Linked DNA regions of Rattus norvegicus. Each later gene encodes a partner of the first gene's protein in a complex. Each region holds a gene or a part of one and is shown in the gene's direction. Other genes may lie near its edges. The genes, in order: Por and Hmox1.

What was found.
Region 2: the proteins of Por (region 1) and Hmox1 are in contact, whole or in part, in a crystal structure (PDB 3WKT), measured with the Rattus norvegicus proteins. Residues at the interface, in NP_113764.1 of Rattus norvegicus: Thr88, Thr177, Asp208, Asp209, Arg313, Arg514, Lys515, Gln517, Arg519, Leu520, Phe522, Lys523, His626, Lys665, Met667, Thr668, Lys669, Gly670, Tyr672; in NP_036712.1 of Rattus norvegicus: Asp12, Ser14, Glu15, Gln38, Ala75, Pro76, Glu81, Lys149, Ile150, Lys153, Ser171, Asp173, Asn174, Thr176, Lys177, Phe178, Lys179, Gln180, Leu181, Arg183, Ala184, Arg185, Asn187, Thr188.

Annotation. Positions count from the first base shown.
Region 1 is NC_086030.1:26,632,871-26,637,375, reverse strand, and holds the start of Por (NADPH--cytochrome P450 reductase), read left to right. Parts: upstream 1-1,566; 5' UTR 1,567-1,627; intron 1,628-4,505. UniProt on the Homo sapiens protein: This enzyme is required for electron transfer from NADP to cytochrome P450 in microsomes. It can also provide electron transfer to heme oxygenase and cytochrome B5.
Region 2 is NC_086037.1:13,478,052-13,480,525, forward strand, and holds the end of Hmox1 (heme oxygenase 1), read left to right. Parts: coding exon 1-38; intron 39-1,077; coding exon 1,078-1,211; 3' UTR 1,212-1,772; downstream 1,773-2,474.

The DNA of each region.
Region 1 (4,505 bases):
GTCTTTTGTGCTACAAAAGGCTTGGTCTTGAATAGGAAAATAAAGCTATAATATATGAATGAATGATTATGTATTAATTAATAAATATAGAGAATGGTTTCTGAGAGAACTTGCTCACTGGTCCAAGAGGAATTTGTAGCAGAATTGCCTTCTTTTCTTCCTCCTCTTCTTCCTCTTACCCTTCCTCTTTCTCTTCTTCCTTTTTCTCCTCTTCCTCATTCTCTTCCTCCTCCTCTTCCTCTTCCTCCTCCTCTTCCTCCTCCTGCTCTTCTTCAGAGACAGTGTCTCACTATGTATGCAGCCTTGATTGGCCTAGAGTGCTCTATGTAGACCAGGCTGGCCCTGAACACTTAGAGATCCACCTGGTTCTGCCTCCCCAAGGCTGGGCCATGGCAGAATGTTAACAACTTATTTTAAATGCATTTATTTATTTGTGCATGTGCAAGGGGCACGCATGTGCCAGAAGACAATCAGAGGGAATCAGTTCTCTTCTTCCTTGTTTGTCCTGGGCATAGACCGAGCCAGGCTGAACGGCAAGCCCCTTTACTCAGAGAGCCATCTTGATGACTCAAGAACGTTTACTAATAATAGTAATAGCCATAAAGATAAAGCTGTTTAGAACAAAGGTTCTGCCCCCCAGACCTTATGCTCCTGTTACCCCAAACCTCCCGGGGGTTAGAGGTGGGATTATAACTCCAATACAACCGACTCTTTTCTTCTTTTGATTTTTTTTTTTTTTTGAGAGTTACTCGTAAGTAGCTAAGGCTGGCCTCAGACTCAGTACTTGAGGCTTATTCTCCTGTTTCAATCTTCCGAGCGTTGGGATGGAGAGGCATCAAGCATGACTGCTGGTAGCCAGATTTCCAAATACTATTGCCTTCGCCTTTCCCCTAGCCACTTCTCTTCCTTAAACAGGTTAGTTTTCAAATCTCAGTGGGTACCCCCGGGGACCAGCGGTGCCTCTATGGGCCTCACCATTTTCAGCTGACAAAAGACATGAGATCACAGGTGAGCTGAGGCCAGCAGCAGGTCGAAACACGAGGTGGCGCACAGCCACGACCCAGCATTGACCCAAGAGACCAAGCTAGGCTGCCAAGGGGCAAGGCAGGGTCACGCAAGCACAAACGTCGGTCAGAGCTGTGCAGGCGGGTAGCCAAAACTAGGATCCAAGCCCAGGAATGGGCGGAGCTTCTTTGAGAGGAGAGGGGGGCGTGGCCCAGAATCGGTGCTAGGCTTGGGGGCGGGGCTTCTCTGAGGAGAGAAGAGGGGCGTGGCCTAGAAACTGAGCATCTGAACTGGGCGCCGCCGGGCTGCGAGGCGTGCCTTTTCCGTGGAGCGGATGAAGGGCGTGACCTAGGAACTGAGAGCTGGGCTTAGGGGCGGGGCCCACCAGGGCTGTACCAACAGCAGGGATTTAGAAGGGGAGCAAAAGAAAGAGGGCCTGCCTCAAGAGCGCGCGCGCGGCTTTTGTGGGCGGGACCTCGGCGGTGTTAGCCACGCCTCACCCCCGCAGCCTTCTGGTCGGTGGTAGCGCCTCAGTGGTGCGGGCTTGCGTCCGGCCCCACTGCCTCAGAGACCTACAGGACCGCGGGCCGTGGGTGATCTGGTCGGTACCGGAGAGCGCAGGGTAAGTGAGGAATGGGAGACCTCAGGGGAGCTCCGCGATACCGGGTCACCTCTTGTCGCTAAGACTATCCGGTTTGTGACTCCCGGGAGGGTTTTTGGGCCGATCTCCGCGCGACTCACCCTTGCGGAAGGCGAGACTTCGCACCTCGGCCCTTCTCCCGTGGTGGCGTTTCCCACCACGACCTAACCTGTCGCGGGGCGTATAGAGGGTCGTTCTCCCCATAACTGCCTTCATCTGAGGGTCGGATCTTTGCATCTGCGGCCAAAGATTCGGTCCTCAGGACTCCTGTCAGGCAAAGCAACATTCCCTCTTCAAGCCTCAGTTTCCCCACCTGTGCGACGGGACTTTTGGGCAGCAGATTACGAAGACCACTCACTTTAGAATGAGCTCCATGAGGGCGAATAGGACCCGGAACAATCAGGTGGACTCAGTGGAGGTGTCACCCTGCGTGCATCCCTGAGGCAGTCCCCCTCCTGGGACAGTGCCTACGACACACCTTTGTCCCGTTCGCTTGAGCAGCAGTGACAAGCTGAGCTCTTGGGAGCCACTGGGTGAGAGGTTGTGGTCTGCTGAGCAGCAGGAGCAGGGCATCTTCCAGGGAACTTAACCTGGATTGGCTTTTTCCTTCTATCTCATTTTCTTTTCTCAAGACGATTCAGCATTGTGTAAGCTAGTGACCGGACCGGGACAGAGGATTTCAGGGACATTTCAGTGAAAGTGATGTGTGTTTGCTATGGACCCATCCAACTAAGTGGTTCGCTCTGAACCTGACCATGCTGCCGGAATAATGAAAACACAAAGGGAGACTCAACTGGTGGGGGTGGCCCTGAGTTCGAGTTTTACCACCTTGGCAGAACACATAAGTTCTTTGAGCCTCTGGTCTGTCAGCTTCCCGACCCTTAGGGGTGTGTGTGTGTGTGTGTGTGTGTGTGTGTGTGTGTGTGTGTGTGAGACAAGGTTTTGTATGGAGCCTAGGCTGGCCTGTACCTTTTTTTTTTGTAGCCCTTGAACAGATTGATTCTGTCTCAGCCTCCTGAGTACAGAAATTGTAAGTGTGTGCCACCTGGCCTGACTAGGGTTGTGACATTTTGAGGACAAGAGATAATCCTGGAGCTGTTCCAGTACTTAGGAGGTTGAAGCAGGAGGATTGCTTGAGTTCAAGGTCAGCAAGTGCCAAGTCAGGGCTGCGTATTGAGACTACTATATCAGTAAAACTGAGGAGAGGAAAGAGGCTGTGATCCTGGCTAGTGGTATTGAGAACTGGGCTGGTCTTTGTAAGCCAAGTGGTTATCTAACCCTGGAGATTTGTTCTTATTACACAGGGCAGTAATTCCTGAAGCTGTCTGGAACTTTGGTTCATTAACCACACATAAACTCTTCCCTCACAGATCCCCCCTGAATGTTGATCTCTGACTTGGCTGCTAGTGGAAAAAACAGCTCAGAAAACCCAAATACTAAAACCAGTGAACACAGAATGGTCCACCTTGCTTTTGTTGTTATTCCAGTGGCTCCTTTAAGAAGTTCACATTTTCTTTGGAAAGTGAGTGGCTCTTAACTTTCATACCCTCTGATACTGGAATTGGTTTCATTGAACACGTTGCTCAATCATTGTCAGAAAGTGGCCAGAAAACAGGCCCACACTGGAGAGGATGGAATATTATCTTATTGCCCTCACATCTGGCATTTGAGAAAGGAAGAGGTAGGTGTAGACTATAGAAGATTCCAGAGATGGACTTTGGTACCTGGAAGTCACAGGCTTGTGGTAGCCAGGACGCCTCAAGTGAAGACATCCTGATAGTAGGAGTTTATAAATGAACATCCCCGAGAGATGTCTGTGGTCTGATAAACCTAAAATTGTAGGCCTGTTCATTCTGGGTGGTTAACTCCTTGAAAGTCAGGATCTTCATTCGTTAGGAAAGTCTCTGTGTACTTAGCAGAGAGTCTGTTTGAGAAGAACTTCCTCCCTGCCAGGAGCCAAACATTTACTTACTAAGTCCATGAGGCATTTCAACATTGCAATATTAACTCTGGTTGTTCTGAGATGAGGGTCTCAGGTGTCCCGGGCTGACCTTGAATTCCCAATCCTCCTGCCTCTGCCTCCTAAGTGCTAGGACTAGAGCCACCTGCATACAGAATCTAGTTCTTAGGGATGTCCCCTCTTTGTGAGAGCTAACCCAGTTGTCATCCTCTTTGTCATTGGAGAGGCCTGCTGTGTAAGCACTTGCCACATCAGGCCAGGCCTGTGGGCCTCATCTCAGTGAGATGTAACTTTCCTTAGTTTATTTCTTCATTGATTTTTATACGGGTACCTATTGTCTGTTGAGTACATTCCTTCATAGGCCCACCCTCGGGACTCTGTTCTTCCTTCTCCCCTTTACATTATAAACTTTGCTAGACATGTTGAACAACCCACTCAAGAGCTCCTCTCAAAAGAAGAAAACCAAAAAGATACAATCTCACAAAGCACCACAGAGTACACATACCATCTTGTATGTCTTACTACATATTTAATGTTTGTTTCTTTGTAAAAGAAACAGATAATTTGTATCTTAGAGACAGAAAATACCTTTTCATTGGGTTTTTTTGTTTGTTTTGTTTTTAATTTGTTTTTGTGACAAGGTCTTGCTAAGTAGCCCTGGCTGGCCCAGAACTACTTATAGAACCTAGTCTGGCCTCAAATCCTCCTTCCTCAGCCATGTGTTGGGTGTACAGGGGTAGGCTCCAGCTTGCCAGATCCTCACTCTCATTTCTTAGACATGCGCTATAGCGTAGAACTTGTCTTTCCATACACTTCTGTTATTTGGCATCTGATAGACATCTGGATTTGAGGCAGCTGGTTTAGAAGCATTGGGTCAAAGGTGGCTTATCTGCTAAGACA
Region 2 (2,474 bases), on another chromosome or scaffold:
AGAGTTTCTTCGCCAGAGGCCTGCTAGCCTGGTTCAAGGTAAAGATGGCCTCTTGGCTTCTGCTCTCCTTAGCCCAGCTGGAATTTCTTTACTCTTCTCCATTCTGAACGTTTTAAATTAGAGATAGGGTGCAGACAAAAGAGCCCAGGGTAAGTCTGTAGTATGACTGTGGGTAAGCTATAAGACTTTTCTACCTTAGTTTCTCCACATTAGAAAATCAGGAGGTTGGGGGCTGTGTAGCTCGTTGGCTGAGGGGCATATAAAGCCCTCAGAAGTCACTGGCACAGAGATCCTCTCATTTAGATCCCGCCTCCCACTTCTTTTCCCCCAAGGCAGAGCCATGCTGCATGACCCAGGCTGGTCTCAAACCCTGGGAGTCAAACAATCCTCCTGCTTCAATCTTTCATAAAAATCTAGGGTGTGTTTACCTTTTGAGGCCCACTCAAGGCTCCCATGCAGGCCCCATATGAGGCAAGGATTTGGGAAGCTATTTCTAGCGCTGACCCTCCAGGAGACACGACGGAGTTCATGTAATTACTGGAGTGTCAGCCCTTTTCCTGTGCCTTGATACACTACCCTTGGAGCAGGAGTAAGGGTTCTTAAAAAGACCAAAGTGGCAGAAAATGTGCCTTCCCTGAGCCTATCACCCCTGGGACAGTATGGCCCAGGGAGTGGGTGACTGAAACTGAGCAGGGCAGGTTACGTGAAGCTTGATTGCTTGAATGGGCCCACCTTTTGCCCAAGGCTCTCCCAAGGGAGGCAGGACCCGCCACCTTGTCATTAGTGGTACTGTTTCTGGTGGGCTGAAATATGGTCAGTGCTGATAGAATTAGTTACCTGTTTGGGTCTGGAGTCTTTGACCTGCTGCGGCCTGGCGGAGCACAGGAGGAACAGCGTGGGGGAGTTGGTGAGCTCCTATCTTTGAAGGTGTTTAAGCAGTGGCTAGTGGTTCAAGCTGTAGCAGAATCCTGGCCTTGGACTGGAACTGTAGCAGACACGGCACCGAGTGTCCTCTGCTCTGTGCAGTGTCATCCACCCCAGGCTGTGTGTTTGACCTTGTCTGTGTTTCTCCTACAGATACTACCTCTGCAGAGACGCCCCGAGGAAAATCCCAGATCAGCACTAGTTCATCCCAGACACCGCTCCTGCGATGGGTCCTCACACTCAGTTTCCTGTTGGCGACCGTGGCAGTGGGAATTTATGCCATGTAAATGCAGTGTTGGCCCCCAGAGGCTGTGAACTCTGTCTCATGTAGCCTTCTCTCTGCAGGGGAGAATCTTGCCTGGCTCTCTTTTCTTGGGCCTCTAAGAAAGCTTTTGGGGTTCCTCGCCCCCTTCCTGTGTCTTCCTTTGTCTCTCTGGAATGGAAGGAGATGCCTGGCACATTTCCCTCACCAAAAGCACAGCCAGGGGCCTGAACTTGGAAACCAGCAGCCCCAAATCCTGCAACAGAGCCCCAGAACTGTGGTCGGTAGAGGCGGCTGTTCTGAGCCCAGTGCCCTTGGTAGTCGGCGTCCATGTTGACTGACCATGACTGCTTTCCCCCAGCGTCATGGCCACTTTGATATCAGTGTGCAGAGATTTTCTGTCTTGTGTTTCTGTCTTGTTTTTGTTATTTCCCCAGTTCTACCAGTGTAATGGTATTTTTTGTTGTATCGATTGTTTTTTTATTCTAACCAAGTAGGGCTGTCTTTTGAGGGGTGGGTGGTATTTAATAATTGTAACCTTGGTCTCTAACTTCTGTGTGAAATAATAAATGGCATTATCTAATAATCACCGGAAGTTCGTTCATGTCTCTGCCGTCCACGAACAGGGCCCTGCTCCTCCTGTCTCTTCAGTGTCTGGCAGGAGGAGGGCAGGTGGTGGTGGCATCAGTAGCTTTGACGGTCCACTGTGTCTGAGAGTTGGAAGTGAGCTTCAAGCATTTGGGCAGATCTTATTGACTGTGGGTGTGGGGGTATGTGTTTGTGTGTACGCAGATACTTGTGTGTGTGTGTGTTTGTGTGTACGCAGATGCTTGTGTGTGTGTGTGCATGTGGAGGCCAGAGATCAACCTCAGGTGTGTTTTAGAAACGGTCCACCTTGGTTTTATTTTAGTTAGACAAGATCTCACTAGGGAAGCCCTGGTTGGAGGAACTCACTATGAAGACCAGCTGGCCTTGAGCTCACAGATGTCTTCCTGCCTCTGCCTTCATGCTGGGATTATATATGTATGCTACCACACCTGACCAGTCCACCTTGTTTTCTGTGGGGAGACAGATGGTGTGTGTGTTGAGACAGGGTCTCTCTTACGTAGTCCTGACAGGCCTGGAACTTGCTATGTAGACAAGGCCAGCCTTGAACTCACTGAGATCCTCCTACCTCTGCCTCCCAAGTGCTGGGTTTAAAGGCATGTACCACCACACCTGGTCAGTACACTTTGTTTTTAGAGTGCTGGGTTTACGAGCACACACCACGATGCCTGTTTTACATGGG